Oryzias latipes: one gene and its partner. The protein of the gene in region 2 interacts with the protein of the main gene of each other region in a pairwise test. Links are inferred from orthologs where the notes say so. Each region holds a gene or a part of one and is shown on either strand. Other genes may lie near its edges.

Evidence for each region.
Region 1: the proteins of wac (region 2) and nfe2l2 interact in a two-hybrid assay, tested with the Homo sapiens proteins (2 studies listed by BioGRID and IntAct). The two-hybrid records come from large-scale screens. The link is inferred for Oryzias latipes from reciprocal best matches to the Homo sapiens genes WAC and NFE2L2.

Annotation. Positions count from the first base shown.
Region 1 is NC_019879.2:22,674,277-22,684,596, forward strand, and holds the end of nfe2l2 (nuclear factor erythroid 2-related factor 2), read right to left. Parts: intron 8,072-10,320; coding exon 7,805-8,071; intron 7,723-7,804; coding exon 7,630-7,722; intron 7,549-7,629; coding exon 7,369-7,548; intron 6,607-7,368; coding exon 5,356-6,606; 3' UTR 4,966-5,355; downstream 1-4,965. Other genes in the region: hnrnpa3 (heterogeneous nuclear ribonucleoprotein A3), read left to right, coding at 4-68.
Region 2 is NC_019878.2:7,918,361-7,928,644, forward strand, and holds part of wac (WW domain-containing adapter protein with coiled-coil), read right to left. Parts: intron 7,693-10,284; coding exon 7,435-7,692; intron 5,834-7,434; coding exon 5,711-5,833; intron 4,164-5,710; coding exon 4,015-4,163; intron 3,733-4,014; coding exon 3,608-3,732; intron 1-3,607.

The DNA of each region.
Region 1 (10,320 bases), on a different chromosome or scaffold from region 2:
CAGGTGGTTATGGCTCTGGGAGTGGCGGTGGCGGCGGCGGCGGTGGTTATGGCTCACGGCGGTATTAATTCTTGGTTGTTTTGGTAAGTAGCGTTCAGTCTGGCAGCAGCCTCGAAGCACAGTTCAGAGTGAGCCCATGAAAGTGCAGATTAACTATTTGTCTTATCCTGTATCCATTCAACAGGCTTCAGTTCTTAGCAGGAGAGGCGAGGAGGTGAGCAAAGGAGTTGTCAGGAAAGCTGCAGGTTACTTTGAGGCAGTCATCTGAAAGCAGTAGAGGAACACAGAAGTCAGACATTACTGCAGCTTATCCAAGAAGTGTATGGAAGGAGGACTGTATGAACAAGACATGAGTGCAGACGATGTCCTTTCCTATTTCTCCTAGATGTGAACCTAATGAGGAAGTTTTCCTTTCTGTGTCTGAATTGTGTGTATTGTGCCTATTGGATCAGGGGTAAATTTTCTTTCTTTTCTTTCTTTTTTTAAGTCCTACATATTTTTGTTTAAATTTTTTATATTGGTTAGTTTTATCATAATGACCAGTTAAACATACATTTTTGATCTTAGCAACTGTCAGATAGCATAGTTATAAAAGGCCCTTCAAAAGCCAGAAGTAGTTGTTTCTTCCCTCCTAATTTATTATTTCCGAATTGCAAGTGTCAAGTGTGTATTGATTTGTATGTAAAAGCACAGTGTGTAACTTTTTCATAGTGTCAGTGTCAACAGAAATAAACAGCTTAGATTAGAACTAAGGGAATCCCGCACTTCTCATTTCTTCCATTGAAACAGATTCCAGATTGTTCCCGTATTTTTGGTTAGTGAAAGAAACGACTGAATAAAGTTGTTTAGTAAAGTAACACAAGATTCAGTGCATCATTGGTTCGGAAAAAAAGCATGCATGCTCATTGTGACTGTGGTTAGCATATCAGCCTTTTCTGACTTGTCCCAAATTTGGGATTGTTATGAAAAACATGATGGTGTCTGTTCATATGTGCAATATTCTGTGCTTTCACGGATACCGTCGCCATTTTAAAAGGGAGGTTTGAATAGTTCCAGGGAAGGGCCCCGAGTGCAGCTTTGCCAGTGTTGAGAAGGTAGGAGTATGAGAACCACAAGCTCCTGCAGTTTGGCCCTCAGCGTCGCTAGTGTGGAGGATGACAATCAGACAGGACGACTTCAGCCCCAGCACAGTGGACCAGTCAGCATTTTGAGAGAGAAGGGAGAAGGCAGCATCGAGCGCAACGGCCATGGAAGGAAGTTTGCAGTGTCATGCCTGGTAGTGAGCATCTGTCTTTTTCCAAGGCTAGCTAAACTCCAGCAGCTGGTTCTCGCCAAGAAAGACTAGGTCCTGGACTCACTGAAGATCCTGTTTAGTGAGATACAGCAGTTTAACCTGCAAATACTAGATGTCAGACATTGAACAAGAAAAGGGAGCCAATATTTCACAAAAGCTGACTTGAGAAGATGGATCAGGTAAGAGTAACCACTTTGCTTGATTTACAGATGTGGATTTGGGCATTCTCTTCTTGCCGAAAATCTGTAAAGACCTGATAACTTGGAAAGTTCTGGATGGGTAAGACTTTTTTTTTTTTTTTTTGTAAATATTTTTCAAGGTTGAATGTTGATTATGTACTGTGTGGTAAGGCGTACAGGGAAATAGACTTAAGGTGAGAATGGGAGGGTTCTTAAGTCGTCATTCAGGTTCTTTGAATGACCAAATTTTCAATTTCAATTTTCAAAGGTGATTTAGAAACATTCTGTACAAAGGTAACTGACCAAGAAGATATGAATCTAAAAACCTGGACATAAATATATATTTAGCTGACACTAAACATGCAGGTCTGAGAAGATGAGACTGTCTTCAGCCATGGAGACACCGGGCGTGTGACGTGTGTTCAAAAGTGCGCCCATGGTGTTCACACTGGATAAGCAGGGAGGGGCTTCTTCTTTTCCTACTGTTTACTAACTCATGTCTGCCACGGTGGGTAGAGTCTTCATGCGAAATGTCAAAGCGCCGCAAATCTCGCCAATCTTGCTCCAGGATTTTTCTTTCACAGCTCTATTCCGATGCATGAAAGACTTGGTGTTATAGAATTCCAGCCAGTCACAGACCGCACTTGATAATTTTTTCTCCATGATCAATTTTCAAACAATTGGCCATTCAATTAATTAAAAGACGCCATCCATGCCTCACTACCAAATCAGAGTCCCTGATTGGACACAGTTCATCCTGGTTTAACTTTCAAACACATTCAAGGACTGTGCATTTTGTGCGCTGAGTTGGAAAGCGATCGTAGAAATTTGCGTATCTACGTGTGAATGCAAAAGTTTTGAACGCAGAAGAAGTCCATAACGCTCATTTATACAGACTTTTCATTGAAAGTGGCCACTTGAACGTGCATTGCCCAGGGCGGTGTAATCGTGGCTTCCGATCTGAAATAAAATCTTAAATTTGGAAGTAAAAAAAGGTTACTTTAAGGTTAAACTAAAGAAACAGACCTGGGCAAAAATGTTGGCATCAAACACGAGTTTGTTACATAAGGGTTATTTTTTTTGTCCACCTCCATCACAAGGAGAACCAGTTCTCTGGCTGGAAGGATAGCTCCATGTTTCTGTAACTTATCTTAATCCAGAATGCCTGGATAGTCTTGGAATGTCATTGAACAATCTTCTTTGCACAGAATTGGGACACCTTGTGCCAGATGTAACAAAGATCATAGACAAGCCTCCACCGTGTTTTACATCTGACTGTCTCCTTTAGCTGGAATGCTTTGTGATTCTGGAGCTGATCACCAGAAATCTAGTCCTTCTAAAAGAAAGAAAAAAACTTCTCCCTAAAATGTATGTTGTGGCAATCTTTTCTTTTTTGTTTGTTTTGTTTTTCTTTCATCATGATTTTATTTTTTATTAAATTTCCTCTTCTTGGTCTTCTCTTAAAAGGTCCACTTTGGAAAAACTTGTGCTTTGTCTTTTTTTGGTTTTGGAGGTTGTTCTCAGTTCCTTAACTACATTATCTTTTTTTTACTATCTTTTTTTAGGCCAGTTTAGTCTTTACGTGCTTGTTTTGAAATTCTTTTTTTGTTCATTTTTTACTATTTTTATTTTAAATCTCCTAAAGATAACTAATTCTTAATCAATGGATCAACACAGTGACTAATTGTCACCTTTCAGACGATCTGAATGTTAGACAACTATAATACTATTCAGACACAGCTAAATTAATCATGCTCAAATGAAAAATTGTGTTGATCCTTAAGCGGTACAGTTGTTTTTGTCCAGGCCTGTTTCATTAGTTTAGATTTTGTTTTATAAAAGCCCATGTCTGTTTTTTTTTAATTAGCTGATTTTGATTAGATTTGTATTTATTTTCAGAATTTTCCAGCCACATTTGTTCTTGTGTATATGATTTTTTTAAAATAAAATGGAAATGAATGAGATGAACAGCTTTGAGATGTTTTACTTCTAAAAAAAAAAACTAACAATAAAAATGTTTAAAATAGGTCCAAAACATTTTAAAACGGATCAAGTGTGACATTTTGTCAAAAGTCTATGTTTGTGTCTCTCCAATATAGAACACAAAACGAAATCAAATGTGAATATCACCTATACAGCGACATTCACTTTTCTTTAAACGTTCAAATATTGAAATCAATACACAGATCACTTTTTTCTGTGGAAAAGAAAAAATTTGTATTACCCTAACATACTTTATGAACAGCTTTGGCATCAAGAACAACCACATTGGTCACAATAGCTAGAAGGTTGATGCACAGCACCGTCTGTGTATATAGTCCTACTGAAATATGTATTTTAATATCTGAAAGCTTTTGCTGTTTCAACATTTGCAGGTTTGTTGCAGGAATAAAATCAGAGAACCCAAAAAAAGGACATTTTCTATGTTTAGAAAGGCAATAATGTGTTTCTACTGCATTTTATCCCAACAAATAAAATAGATCATTTTAATACCATTTTTAATACCACTTTTTAAACAAAACCAAGAAATAAACTGTTCCTATGCAGACATGAGATGCTTAAACATGCATCAACAGAACAAAATGAAATCATGAACACTAGGTATATATGGAAAAAATATATAATTTTCAAGCTAAAACTAATATATGGTATACTACTAATAGTAAAAGTACCATTATTCAGTGGTGTTTTCTGCATTTTTATTTCTAATCACATTGATTTAGCTCATCACTAAGGTCTGCAGAAACCAGATAACGGCCATAAAGGGAAGAAGTACTGAGGCAGAAAAACATGGCGAGCATTGGTCTCTGTTATAAAGTTACTGTGTATAACGCCATTTACTATTTAAGCTCTGGTTAATTTGTTGATTTCTATTCAATGCGTTGGTGCTTCATTAAATTGAAACTATTTTTGTAGAACACGTTTTATGTCCTTTTATTTTAGAAAACTTTTTTTTTTTTTTATGGTCTCCTTTCATTGACGATCTGCAAATATCTGTTGTGCAATAAATCGAGTTTGTGAAATAAAACTGTCAATGAGGTGTTTTGTCACTTTGATTTCATCACGGTGCATCAAACCCTTTCACCTGTTTAACTTAGTGGGAATGGTTTTGGTGATCAAAGGTGAGACAGTGCCTGTGTGTGAGAGTTCATGTATAGTGAAAGCCACACGGATCATGACGGTGTTAGCCTTTGCTACCATATTCTGTGCATTTGGTTATGCAACCACACAAAATGTATTTATTTTAAAGGGAGTCAACGATATTAAAGTTACTATGCAACCATGTTTGCTTTAATAGAAAGCAGGTAATGGATGATAAATCCTGCAGCATGTTTGCTTCCCAAGCCCCTTTCTAAAGCTTTTCATCTAACTTGGCTCCAATATCTGGTTTGTTATGTAATCTCTGTAAAGGCTGCAGATCCCTCCCTTTGCTTTTTTATTTGATGGGCTCTGCTTGAATGGTGTGCTGGAACAAAAAAACATTTCAATCACTAGGTTTTTAAATTGTTTATTTAAAAGCATAGAAGAAAGAATTTAAATTAACTGGACAGCAAATTAGATGAGTTATAAAAAGTAACTGACAGAATCACAGGCATACGGAAATATGATATATATACAATATATACACGCACAGGACATTCTTAGGAATCTCAATAGCAGGTGAGGCTTAATATTTACAAAATATTGTTTATAGAGACTGTGACAATATTGGAGTATAAAATAAGTAAAATATCAAAAATATTACAACATTCATGAGACGTTAGCAAAAACGAATGAATGCTTCCACCAGGCTGCCACACCTTAAAGCTGAGCTACTACAAAGTTATTGCATAGTTTCTATGGTGCTGAAATACACTATTACAAAGGCGAAAAGTGGCTTTCCTAGATCTTAAAAGTCTTTTTCATGCGAGGGACGAGAAAGATGCTGCCGTCTGTGGACTGCTGCAGGGAGTACTCCGACGGGGAGTATGAATTCCCCTTCTCATCCCTCAACTTGCCAAAGACCTCCAGGTACAAGCTGTTAAGCTGTCGCTTCATTTCCTTCAGGTTTGTGGCGTTTTTACTCTTCTCGTCCAGCAGACGCTCTTTTTCTTCCTTTAGCAAGTCCAGTTCATGCTCCAGACCCACTATGTTCTCCATCTTGCGTTTGCGGCAGTTTTGAGCGGCTACCTTGTTCTTGCCACGGCGACGAATGTCGCGGACCAGGGCCAGCTGGGCCTCGTTCAGCTCGTGCTTTGACATCATCTCGTTAAAGTCATCGACGGGCAGGTTGATGATCATGCTGACTGTGAAGGGGATTTTAAGGGCCTTCGCCCTCTGCTCATCTCGAGAGAGACGCACATCGGAGCGTTTCTTTGGTTTGTCTTTGGTGAACGGTGTGCCGCTGTGACCACTCTCTTCAGCCGGATCTTCCATATGTTGCTTTGGTTTCTTGTCGAGCTGCTTGCACTGCCCAGTCTGTTCCGACTCTGGTTTTGCTAGTTCAAGATCCTCGGGTTGGAAATTCAAGCTGAACATCTCCGAGTAGTCAGACTCAGCACTGCCGGGGTTGTGGTCCAGGTCGTCCATTTCGGAATCACTAAAATTATAGGAGCCCCCTCCATAAGCAGATTTGCTGGGGGAGCTGGAATAAGGACTGGAGTGAGTCGAAATTCCTGAATCTGAATCTGGGAAATCTGCTGGCAGCCGTTTGCTTCTGTCAAACACATCTTCAGGTGAAAGGGTGTACAGGTCCATGGGCGTAAACGAGGGCTTGCTTGGTATCTCGGACACATTTTCACTTTCCTCGTGGCCATGCTGACTGCTGCTCTCTTCCACGATGGTGTCAGGATAAAAGACACTGGAACAAAAGCTGTCTGGGGTAAAGTTTGGATTCACCTGAGGGTCTTCCACATTTATCTGGCTGATGTCAGATGGAGCCATACTGGGAACAGGGCCATCACAAGTATTCATGAATTCTCCGGGACCAACATTTAAATTTTTTGTTTTTAAATCTGAGGCACTGGGCATAGGGTAGTAAGGAGTATTTGGGAACAACTGGTTGTTTGGGTAACTTGGATTCTGCACTTGAGGACTGGTCTGAATCGGAAAATTTGTGGCCTCCATTGTTTCATCCACTTGCATTTTGAAACACTGTTGGAAGATAAAAAGACACAAAGTTTAGGGGGAGAAAAAAATAATAAGGGCACAGTTTCCATAAGGCTCATTAATTTTAAATGGTTTTAGAATTATGTAGGTAGACAGCATTAAAATCTAAACATCTATTGGCAGAAATTGGTTCTAAATCAGAGAAGCCCAGGCTTGAAATCAAGAGCTGCTCCATTTGAGTGGTGTTGTACCAATAGCACATATGGAGCTAGTTCACACCTAATGATGTAAATGGATAATCCTAAAACATGGGAACATAGTTTCCATGCTTTTTGAACCTTTCGTACAACAATTCCAAACATCCATTTTTTGCTTCTGAGCTAGTTTTAGCAGCTTGCCCAATCATGTTAAGCCTCATGGTTATCATTGTAATCTAGTGCACAGAGGGACAGGACTAGGCAAGTAACACGACTAAACTCCGCCCTTTGGCTAATGCAAATATGAGGTGTAGCTACCGGAAAGAGACAAAAAAAAAATGTCTACACCTTTTACCCAGTTAGCATAAGCATCATTAGTGCCGCACCTTCCCCGAACTACACGCCTACCAGTTCTGCAACTTTAAGGTCACAGCACCAAACTGTGAACGTGTAATGTTTTTAATGCTTTCAACTGCCAAAGCAATAAAAATATTCTGTAAGAAAATGAGCAGAGACATTTTCTATTTATTTGCATCTCTCACAAATAATTTAGCCCAAGCCTCCTTTTGTTCATTTGAATATTTGTTCCAAACAAAAATGGGAATTATACCTGAAGCTCTGGGAGGGACAGAATCTCCATCCAGGCCTCCTCCAGATCGGGGGTAACTCTTTGTGGAGGAGTCAGCGGGTTTGGGAGGACAGCGGGGGACAGGGCCGGCTGTTCAGAGGGCATCATGGTGCCACTGGGGTACACCGAGACAGGAGGCAGCTCCATGCAAACTGAAGGATTCTGCGCGGCAAACATACATTTGTAAACCAGAAGTCATACCATAGGCTGTGAATTTGTGGCAATTAGAGATGAAACTCTTACCTCAGTTTCCCCTACAGGAAATGTCTCTGCCAGCAGTTGCAAACATTCGTCAAATGACATGCCATCTCCAGTCTCCTCAGTGAAGTTAGCATCCTGCAATCATCCAAGCAGAGCCCATTGAATGAAGAGGGAGTGGCCCACCTCTGACACAAATAATATTACAATGTGCCTGTACCTGAGAAATTTCGATGGATACGACAGCCTGCTGCGGAGGGAGGATGGGTTTTGTGTGAGGTATGTACTCTCCAGTCTCTTCATCTAGCTTCAGCTGCGCCAGCAGGGCCTTCTCTTGCTCCCGCAGCAAATGCAGCTTCTTTTCTTCCTCCAACTGGCGCTGCCGCTGCAGCTCGTGCTCCTTCTGCCGATGGTTGTAGTCGAAAACCTCTCGCCTGGCACCGAGGTCGATGTCCTGCTTCCAAAGTATGTCAATCAAGTCCAGGTCCTGAAAAAACAACCGCAAACAAAAGAGTTGGAAGCCATTGTGCACTCCTGCAGAGAGAATACGCTTAGTGCTGAAAGGAGAATTATTGTCCCTGCTGTGAAACATGGCTTTTGCACCTGCCACACCCTGTCCCCTCCGTATCTGTTCGCTCACAGCAACACTGGAGTTAATGTCACGAGGGAGAATGGCTATGAATAATAAACATGCTTCTCTGTTTCCCTTGTTGCCGCCACACACAAGCAGAATCCCAATTTGACACGTATACCCATCTCATTACTCCAAAGTGTGAATTCTTTTGTCTCGTTTAATCTCCCGGACAGTCAGGTAAGGTCTCAATGATCAGATTAAATTTCACTCTGGTAAACTAGCCTCAAGTGCTTTTATTTGGTAGCCTTTATAAGATAAGAATAAGAATGAGTGATCGTACATGTATAGCATGATCTGGAAAGAAAAAATGTTACACAAATAACTTCATAAAGTTTAGGGTAAACATTGCAGGAGTGTAAGGGTTGAACGTTAGACATGATATAAACTTTGTTCCATCCATGTCTGTGGACAGCTACGGTAATCTCTGGACAAGTTTGCAAAACAAAAGTCCATTTTGAATTCTGGGTTTACATAGAAATAAGCATGAAAATGTTTTCTAACCATTTCCTTTCAAATTGCTCTCACAGACTCAAATGTTACTTAACTTTCAAACAACACTCTTAAAGACAAATTATGCTACGCTCTTAGGGATTTTTTTTCACCATAATTTATTTACAGAAGAAAACTATTTCATAAGGCCTCAGGATATTGCATAAACCCAAGATACTCTTCCACAGAAAAAAACCACCAGACCATATGACTTTTTTTTTCTCCCCCAAATTCCTATGAAAGTAGCATATGAGCTTTATAATATTCTGTTTTGTGGTTTTCGCAGACTGAAACAACCAAAAAAAACTAGAAAAAAGGAACAAAAAGCAGACATTAAAACAATCCACTAACAGGCTGTGAAACTGCACTGAACAATATCAACAATTCTCTTTTTTTTACCTAAAAGAAAAGACATGCAGCATAAATAATCATTAACAAACGGGAAAATATTTTGGTCACTGTTGACACAGACTTTGAGACAGCGGCAAAGCAAAATAAGAACCCACTAAGTCTGTGCTTGAGTGTTGCATCAGAAGCTGGACCATTAAAGCATTACTCATTACTAAGGCTGGTGAGCATAAATCATGGCAAAGAGTGTAGAAGCCCAAAACCAGGAATTATGGTGGCTATAGGAATGAGGAAGTTCCCTAAAATGCTGCAGACCCCCTAACACTGTTGTGACCACACCTGAATTAAAGAAAAGGGAAAAAAAAAACGACTAGAAAAGAAGCACATTCTGAAACCAGTTTGACAGCTTTCTTAAAAATCCAATAAATACAATGTAAAAATACAATCAAGCGTTCAACACAATTCATTTTTCCAAAAACCAACTGTAGATTCAGAAGGACTACATATAATAACATCTTAAAAATCTTTAGATGGTATAGATTAAGCAGACAAACAGTTGGTGTGTGCATTTCTTTGTTTTGTTTTGTTTTTTTCTTCCGACACCGTGACCTTGATTCACCACAGTCTGACTGGCACGTGAACAAGGAAGCTTAACACGGGAACATTCTCAAATTTCCCAGATAATACGCAGGCGGTGAGCAGCTAAACCAACACAACCATCATGTACTACTTCTAAAATAGAAACGGAATGTACCAAGACCAACCGAAATCATTGATAACTCCTGCAATGTATGCCTACTTTAATGTAAACAAAGTCGAGTAAAAGGGAACTTGTGTTTATATTACACAAACTTATAACATTATGTTCTGGCAATGACGACACACAGCTTTTACAAAACTTAAAACATGGCTGAATGAGTCTTTCAGGGGGGCGTTGAACCAAAAGCAGCGGATATTACGTAAACTAACTTAATTCCTATATTGATTATTATTAGCTTAATTTGTATTTGTATGGAAAACCAGACAGACAGTAACGACACAACTTTTGAAGAACCTAAAACATAGCTAAACTTAGTCATTTCGGGGGAACGTTAAACCAAACACAGCAACAACAAAAAATTAAGCTAACCTCAATTCCTTGATATTATTAGCTTAATTTATATTTACATGAAAAAAACACGAGCGACCTCAAGCTGTGGTTCTATATCATGTGACACCAAAAAGGGGAAGAGCGAAAGCAGATGCTAATGTTATGTTTTAAGGAA
Region 2 (10,284 bases):
ACGGAGGAAAAAACCCACAACCCACAGTTCTGCCGTTTTATTTATATTCTGATTCTGAAGGAAGTTTTACTTTGGAAAACTACTGGATTCTCTCCACTACATCCAACTTATTCTTGATGCAAGTCCAATATCTGCAGCTGCTTTAAACTTTATTAGTACACTGGATTTTATGTGGGTTCCACTAAAATGAGACATGGAGCTTCCCTAACCCATAACTGCTGTCAAAGTAGAAGCTAAATAGAAAAAAAGTCTCCAGAACGGATATTCTCTAAATATAATTGAAGTGAATCCGCTCTGTTTTAGCAGCGTCCTTGTAGCGTTGAGCTGGTGTTACACCAAAAACTGTGAGCTGTCAGATGTTTTTGCTGAATCTCACTACCACCTTCCTCCTTCAGATTTAATGTAAATGATATATAATGACAAGATCAACATTATGCTGTTTTTGTTCTGATTTAATATGAAACCTGATCACCTGGAAGCAGAACAGGGAAATCTCTAGTAAATCTGTTTTTTGTTTTCTCAGCATGTTTGAATTAAAGTTTACAGTTAGATGAAAAAGACGTGTTTACAGCATTAATAAATTACTTTTATGCATTTTCATTTCCTTAAAAATATTCCGAATAGTCTGTGTAAAATAGTGTTACAATTTGTTAAAAATATACGTTTTTTTTATAATACAGTCAACTTGGTCGGTTACATAAAAATTACATTTTGCCCCAGTGTGTGGAGGTATTACAGTTACCGGTATTTAAAATCCGTACATAAGCAGAGTAACATGCACTGCAAGTTGTGCAGCATTATTAAATTTACAATCACTGGTTACAATTTAAACTGGAAGAGATTTATTTATCAATTCTTCAACTGCTTCAAACCAGCAATATCTTCAAAAATAAGGAAAAAAAGGTCTGAACAAACCATTTCAGTTGAAGTGTCATCTAATAAAACTGGATTAAAAAGATATTTATCCTTCCTTTCAATGAAACTACTGTAACCCTCCATTGTTTCTCTTGTTTACAATAAATCTTACGTCATCAGGGCTCCAGACTGCGAGCAATTGGTCGCATTTTGCGACCAAAATTTGAGAGTGTGCGACTGAATTTTACATCCAGTCGCACATGCGTGACCAGTAAATTTGCCTCCCCCACCCTTCGTATTTTTTACGAAGGGTGGTCATTGACGTGGAAGGGGCACGTCAATGATCAATGAAATAATCAATGAGACGCGAGCGCACACGCACGCAGGCAAGCGCACACGGACGCAGGCAGGCGCACATACTCGCGCACATACTCATGAAACGCGAGCACGTATACTCTCGCGTGATACCTGTCTGTGAGGCGGCCACTGCGTGTGAGAAGAATAGGGAAAGCCACTGTGAGTGGCTGAAATGCGTGTAGGGGGAGGGGCCTAGAGATAATCGAGCGCGCGTAAACATCTGTGGGAAGGAAACGGAGACAAATATCATCACAACCTGATATGTGCGTCTGAGCTGCTATGAGTAAGCGAACTATTGATTCGTTCTTCCGACCTGCGGCTAGTGTACCAGTGCCAGAGTGTACAGCAGGGGTCTCAAACTCGCGGCCCGCGGGCTATTTGCGGCCCCCAAGATGATATTTTGCGGTCCCCGCCTTAATATGAAGGTTTAATGTTACTGCAGCCCGCCAGTTTGTATGAATGACACTTTTTCATTGTCGTGCGCGAAGCTGACCAACCAATCACAGTGGGGTATATGACTCTTGGGGGGCGTGGCAATGACAGGGTTTGAAAGCAGGAAACCTGACAGCCCCCTCCCCGGACCACATTAAGGAGTTCCTTACTTTCCTTTAGAACGTATTTATTCGCTCGTGATTTTCTAAATACATGCAGTCCGTGCTGAACTTTTCTCTGGGCCGCACAGACCCGGAGGAAGGTTTAGGTTTTGGTTACGGTTACGGCGGCGCATCAAACGGTTTATGCACGGCCGTTACGGCAGCACACCGCTCCCGCGGGGGTCGGGTCAGCTGAGGAGAATAAATGTCCCACACCTACATGCGTGACGGCTAACGGGGCTTGAACTTTAAACACGTGCGAGCAAAAACAACATTAGTTTTAGACACACTGAAAATACGTGGGGAAAATGCAACGATAGACGTGTTTGAGATGAACCGGCACCTCGCCTGGATCGTTGGGGAGACCAGGCGGGGGGGGGGTCTGTGTTATTATATATTTTATGATTATTTTAAGGTTTTGTAATGTATGTAGCCTTTTTTAATGAATTGGTATTTTAAATTATTTTAATTAATCACTCCACTACAAAAACCATCAGGACACATGTCCCATAATGCATTGTTTTGTAGTCTGTAGGGCAGCTTTCAGTCAGTTCAGTTTCCAGCTGTGTCCGGGTAGGTTTGCCCCTTGCTCCCACCCCTTTCTCGCGATATTTTTGTGATGATTGACAGTTGATGTTGGAGCAAAAACAAAAATATGTCACACACCAGGTGATCTGCGCAGCGTTGAGTTCACCTGGGTGATCTCAAACACGCTTATTGTGCATCTTGGCTGCACCTATTTGGTGTCACAAAGATAAATTTCCATCCGTTTTCTTAACTATTTGTACTGTCATGACAGCGATGGTGCTGTCAGTTTACCTTGTTGTTGCATCTTCAAAAGTGCAGATTAAAATGTGACACTGAATTTCAAACAGCATATTGTAATTTCTGCATCTATTATTAAAGTATTTATTAGTAATACAGTGGAAATTAGTAGATCTGGTTAGCATGTTGATTTACGGTATGCGCCCCTAAATTGTCTGGTTGTGCCCCTAAAATTTTCAGTTAGGGGCCACTGTGCTCCTAGTGAAAAAAGTTAGTCTGGAGCCCTGGTCATTGATTCACTAGAGCAGTGTTTTTCAACCTTTTTTGAGCCACGGCACACTTTAACCTTGACAAAAATCCCGCGGCACACCAGCATCCAAAAAAAAAAAAAAAAAAACAGAAATTCATGGTCTGTATTGATCGACAGCGATCAAGTAGCTGCAGGTAAATCGCGGTAACGTAATCCTTATCAAAATGTCTTTAATAGAATTAAATAAACACAAAGAAAAAGTAATTTTAAGATCTTTCATATTCCTAACTACTCAGTGTTTTATCAGGGCCTGTTTGGATGAACAAAGAGCTGATATCCTGGAGATGGGAAATGTTTTTAGATCAGTGAATGATTAATGAGGGCAATTTCTCCACGGCACACTTGACCATCTCCCACGGCACACTAGTGTGCCGCGGCACACTGGTTGAAAAACACTGCACTAGAGAGCAAAAAAGAACAGCAGTAAATGACCTTTATGAATGAATCAGTTCCACTAATGACCAGCAGATGGTGCCAAAAGACTCCAAATAAAACATCTGATTGCTCATTTAAGATAAGCTGTGATTTCAGGTGTGGATGGCTACAATGATTTCCAGGTAAAGTATAATATATTTTAGATGATTAAAATGTAGTTCACAGCTTTAAAATAATAATAAGGAGGAAAATGGATGATTTATAAACCAACTACATCCAATTAAACATAAACAGATTGATAGAGATGCCTATTTTTGGTCATAGGATGTCAGTGCTTCTGGTTTGGACTCACCCTTGGCGTTGGAGGGCTCTCGGGGAGGCCGTGGTGACATCGTGACTGTGCGACTTCTCACTGGAGAGGTGCTGCTGGGATGTGGGCTGGGAATGAGACGTCTGCTTTACTGCTGGTGTATTCACCTGAAACGCAAGCTCTGCATCAGCGCAAAAACCGCAATTTCTCTGTCAACGTATTCACATAAACCAAGAATCCCAGAGACCAGAAATGACATGTTTCATTGTTGGGAAACCTTACAAGACAGATTCCATCAAGCAGCAAAAACCTGCAGAAATGTCAACTATCACCCAGCTGGCATGAGGCTGTGTCATATCTTTGCTCATCTTTGGTTGTAAATGAGATGACCTGACTTTACTGGTTGTCAGACAAGAGTGCAGTCTGGTTGAGAGGTGGCAGTGTCTTACCTTTGACTGTGAGATGACAGGCTGCGTGCTGAGGAGGGGTTTGTGGGGGCCGGCGTTGGTCTGCGGCGTGCTGATTCTCGGGGAAACGTAGGATCTTGGTGATGAGGCGTCTGATGTTAAAGACATTGGTGACTGATTTGACTGCTGGCCTGTTGAGGAGTGTAGAAAATAAATTCAGACTTTTATCTCATCAGTTGTTGCGTAAGTTTTTTAATTGAACAAAGTAAATACAATAACTCCAAAATGAGGTCTGCTGTATTTTCAGTTGGACTCCAAACCTGATTATTTAAGTCATTAAGAAGGTCACAAACGCAAAATGACATTTAACATAAAAACTTGGAACAAATCAGGCCTTTCATTTCCATCGGGGCTGCTAAGTCCTACCTACACTGTATGATTTGTTCCCCCCATTTATAAGTACTTTATGGTATAGCCCTACTCTGTAACCAGTGGAGTAACTTTACAAAATATAATTGAGTTATTAGTTTAAAAACCAAAACCCACGAAAGTGGCACTAGATCTGTTGTGGAGTCAGGTTGAGAAGCTGCACTTTTGCTCTGAGATGGTTAGACACAGAGCCACTTTTCTTAAATAAGAAACCCTTTAAGAATGCGGGGGTTGACCCGTACGGTGCTGTGCGTTTTTGGGTTGACTGGGCCATTGGAGGGTCGTGGAAAGGAGCGGCTGCATCTTTAGAGGAGCACAGGTGTGTCTTGCAGTTGCCTCAGGGTAACCATCTTAAATGAGACGCCATGAAAATGGAACATACTCCTGTTGTACGTGTTGGAAGTATTTTGTGAAGTATTTATAAGGACAATGTAAGTTGCACTCACTTGCATGTGATGCTCTAATCCACCTGCCAGGGCAGTTGTGACTAAGGCTTTAGAGCTTTAGAAGTGTTTGAACCAGCACACCCACATGCACCTTAAACTAACAGGAGCCCTTCCTGTATTTTTGTTGTTTGAATAAACAGTACTTTATAACGTCTTATTTTGTCTTGCATGACTGTATCAGTCTGTGTGTTAAAGTCATTGTATAAAGTGTATTCTGTGTTCATGTTGTCACATGTAAATTATGTAAATTAAAACTAAAATTCATCAACTCCCACTCTAAGCATCTTTTGATCTACTGTAAAATCGTCCCCGGTGGTCTTTTAATTATGATTATGTCATTTTAGGAGAAAAATCAAACAACCTGTGTCATTTTCCAGGACATAGTTTCTGCAGAGCAGCAGTAGTTAATTAGAATTTCACCTCTGGGTTGTGGAGTGGATCTGCTGGTGTGGAGTAAGCCCCCCCCCCTCCACTTCCTGTCACCCATCCGTTTACTCTCTCTTCCACTAGCTTACAGCCTCTCACACCTCAACCCAACATAAGCAGTGCAACAAAAACGGTGAGCAATCTCAGAGCTATCCAGGCGCACAGTTCGGAACCAGATTCCAGCTCAGAAGAGGAAACAGAGACGTTCATGGATGTAGTCCACTACAAGTGGATGAATCAGAATGGAGCAGAGCAGGGAGCTACGTCACAACTACAAGCTTTTTTTTACCATCTGCTTAATACACGACAATTTGAATAAAGAACTACTCAGAAATGTGATTCTAAGCTTAATTTTCTCTGTCTATGTCTTCAAACATGTGAAAAATGCTACAAGAACATGTCTTTAAAACAACAACAACACCAAAGCCTGAACTCACCTTGGTTAGAAAGCTGAGCGGCTTGAGAAAGGATCGTAGTGATATTGAACGCCGACGGTCCAGCTGTGAAGATCTTGTGGAGCATCGACTGTAATGAAGCTTGTGTGACAGCAGCTGTGAGAACTACACAAAAACAAGAGGAAACCCGCTGTTAGGCATGCAGATCAAATAGTCTAGGTACTACAAATACATGATTGTTTGCAAGCTTGGATTCAGCAAACACCTGAACACTGTCAATATTTGGAAAGGTTATATTTTCATGGTACTGGAAATCTGCTTCTGCAGAACTTCAATAACATTTGGAGACGGATAAAGCAGACGCAACAATCCGACTGCTCTGATTTCTCAAATATTACATTTATCTTATATAGTGTTACAATCATTCTGTCACAGTAGGGTTTTTGCACACAAAACCAATAGGTGGGCAGCCAGCAAAGGTGCATCAACAGCTGTACAAGGAGATCAGACGGCCCACTCACAATTACTGAAATGTGAAACTACAGATCTGTGTGCAGAGGCCTAATTACTGGATGACAGCCACTCCTGCAGCTCCTCGCTGCTTCAAGGAGACGCAGAGCTGTGGAGGCAACGACCATAATGACGGATGTGCGCCGAGTAAATGTGCTTCTGACTGTTCAACCAAAGCCGTCTGTTCAATGATCTGCAGAGAGGACAAGAAGCACGGAGAAAATCTGCTGCTTCTGATGGGAACCTTAAAAACTATTTAAAGTAAAAACCGGTCATACAGTATGAATCAATTTCACTACTGAATTACTTAAGACATAAATTGGAGAGTTACTTATTAAAATTTCAATCAAATAAAAGGCTGTGGGTTGAACTTCGATTTTCCAGACAGTTGGAATGGAATTGAATTGGCTGCTTGATAGTTGTCCAAGAGTGTGTTCACACACACACTTCCGCCACGTGTGGGAAGAGGTACTGTCAAAAGTTTATAGCCTCATCGCTACATCATGGAGGACACGTCATTTATGTTTTTTTTTAAAGCTATACAAAGGCGTCAGAAAGAACGTTGCTATGTCTTGGTACTGTCATGATGCGGCTGTAACGAGTAACCGAATATTTGGATATTTGTGATCTGTTCCCAAAAATACAAAGATGAATATTTAGCATCATCCATGATAGCTTATTCGCAATCGTTCTAAATTTAACAGAGCGCTTTTAAATTTATATATAAAAAAAGAATAAAATAAAAACCATCCACAGCTCTAGTTCATGAGATCATTCAGTCTCCCTGTACAGAATGTCGCTTTCAGTGGGACGTCCTTCTCTGAGACTCTGTCTGAGGACTTGCTGTCCCGCATTAGTCCAAAGATGGTAAAAAAAAAAGAAAGAACAGCCATTAGAATAGGGCTGCACGATAAGAGGAAAACTCGCGATCTGCGATATTAGTGATCAATATTGCAATGATGATATAAGTTGCGATACATGAAAAAATAGCAAACCAACCAAAAACGTCATTTCATTGCAACATTTTATTTGAAATAAAAGTCAACACAACTTAAATTACACTCTTAATGACCTTTGTCTACTTAGGAGGCGAGCATCTAACATAAAAGGCATCCGTCCCATTGGTCAAATGCTTAAAGGGATTTATTTGATTCGTTAAATACTTCAAGCTGGGGTAGGATTTGGGCATAAATGCTGTTAAAGGAGACAGATCAACGCCGAGAAGGGAATTCTACAGATCCTAAAAGCTTCTGTACCTTCGTTGATTTTGGCCATGTCCACGCTGGCGTTGTTCAGTTGCAGTGCGGTCTGAAGTGCTGGGAGGAGCTGGCGAAACAGAGTGGGGTCCTGCAGTAACGGAGGAGTTGACGACTGAAGAACCGGAGAGACAGGCACTGTGGAAGCTGACGATCCATGCGGCCCAGATGACGGGTTCACGCCACCCGAGCCTGATGACGACAACGACGATGACTGAGTGGCATGAACTGCTGAAGGCTTCTCCGCCTGGGATGATTCTGTGAAAAATTTGAAAAAAGAACATATATATAAATATTTTAGGTATTTGCTCACATTGTAGTTCAAAAACTACAGTCCGGGAGGAAAAAGTAAGTGCAGCGTGTCCTGATCATGTTAAGGAGCTGCCTCTAGGTTTTCAGGTGAAAGGAGCTAAGTCACTTCAAACATTAACCACCCTCAATTGTCCTAGGGATTTTTTTGTGTTAAGGTGGATACTTTAGATAGATATTTCTTTATTGATCCCACATTGGGGAAATTCAATTATCACAGCAGTTCCAAAAAGCAGAGAAAAGGGACAGCAATGTGCAAAAGTGAGGGGTGTTCCCAAATGTGCAAGTATACAAATACAAAAATGTGCAAAAATATAAAAAAAGTAAAATGTAAGTAAGTAATAAATTATGTACACTATTACAACATAACACGTTATGCCTAATAATACAATTAAATAAATAAAGTGAAAACACATAACACCATAACTGTTTATCTAAAGCAGTGTGTAGTTTTGTGGTAACCTGGGAAAACATTAAAACAAAAGACCAGTGGTTGTAATTTGCAGGAGGGCAATCAGGTCTGGTGAAATCTTCCTCTGAGTTTGTCAATAAAAGTTAAAGGCCTCAAACACTATTCATACCATCAGACAGATCACGAAAACTACACAAGACAACGAAAAAGGCTTTAAATGACTGTGGGCCTTTAGATGGCTTTAACCAAGTAGAAGATAGAGAAGCTGATGCAGAATTTATCTGAAGAAGTTTTACTAAAAAGATCTAAATAAAATACAAGCTTGAAAGGTAACTGTAAAACTCAGGCTGTAAAAGCAAACATCAAAATTACACAGTGAAAATTATGAATATTGAAAGAAAAAGGTACACTTTGGAAAATCCCACTATGCTCATCTTTTGATTTATTTTAAAGTAGATGGCAGTCTTTGGTGGTATGATTATGGTATACTGTTTTCAGCCAAAAAAAACAAAAACCTTGTCATTTTATAGGACATAGTTTCTGCAGAGGGGCAGAAGTTGTAATGCGAGTTGTGGGTGGGACTGTTGTCATGGACCCCCCCCCCCCCCCCCATTACTGTTTACTCTCTCTCATGCTAGCTTACAGCCCTTCAAACCACTAACCTAACAAAAGCGGTGCTACAAAAGTGGAGAGAAACATCAAAGCTATCCATTCGTACAGTTTTGATCCAGATTCCAGCTCAGACGAGGAAAACAAAGACATTCATGGATCTATTTGTTTACCAATGGATGCATCAGGATGGAGCGAAGAATGAAGCTCGTTGACATAAAAATCCGCTCTTTTTCTAACTGCACTTTTACATTTGCTCCTGATTCACAACAATTTGATGGAGAAATGCACAAAAATTTAATTTAGGCTTTTTTTTTATACAAGCCCTCCATCAGACAAATGCCACGAGAACATGTTAAAAACACCAAAAACACAACTGTTTATCAAAGTGGCTCTTTAAATGCTAACTTAGTGTTAAACATGAGCAGCAGAAAGTAAATGTCATCACAAAAGCAACAAATAAAACCTGGCCTTGTGACGGGGAGTATTTTTTTTAAAGAAAATTACTGTCTATTAAACACAACACAGTGTCCTAATGTGAAAAACACCCAGCAACAAGAGTCTTGAGTCGACTCCACAGCACGACCCGGTGAAGGTGTGTTGTGACCTGGATGAGCTGCTGGGCTCTGTTGGAGCCACCAATAAAGATTCAAATAAAAACTATGATTGTCAAGTTAATTAAGCAGATCAACGAGTCGGGGCGTTTTCCTTAAACTGCTTTGTCTAAACTTTTCACATTGCCCAAACGTGTGTACCGGTATTCATGAGTGAAATGCAGCAAAGGATTTTCATATCATTGTCATCAAAAGGGATGCATCAGATGTCTGTGAAAGACTGTCTAACATTCAAAATGCCATTTCAAATGGGTTTCAAATGCAAAATACAAGCAAAGAAAAAAGAAATTAAGCAGCTATGGACAACATTTATTTTCCTTTTGACAGCTCAGCCTTGGAGTAGAGTGTCCCCCTGAAACTGGAAGGCCATAAGTTCAAATCCACGGCCGAGTCACAGCAAATGTTTTAAAAATGGGACCCAATGCAAAGAAAGAAAGAAAGGAAAAGAAAGAAAGAAAGAAAAAAGTAATCGCAGGAAAGGTTCAACATGTAATATATTTACAAATAAAGAAGGTACACAGAAGGAGTTTTCAAAGTTGTAATAATATACCTGAGCTTTTCTTTCCAAACAGTGCCTGTGACACGGCAGCAATATGGTAGTGACAGGGCTGGTTAAAAAAACATACCGGTAAAAGTCACTGAGAGCAGCAGTAACACAGAGGCAAGCGCTGCGAAGGAGGGGGCTGGAAGTTTTCTTCCACAACAGTGACACACCGTAACACAGCGCCAACAGGGCTGGTTTAAAAAAAATGAACGTAAACGTCACAGAGCTTTCTTCATCTTCCTCCTGTGCACTGAAACCATGGAAGTCTTCCTCAGTGTTGGATGATTCATTTATAGGGGCGTGATGATAACCGCATCACCGGAGTGATGACCTCATCACCTTTTTTTTTTTTGATAGTTTTT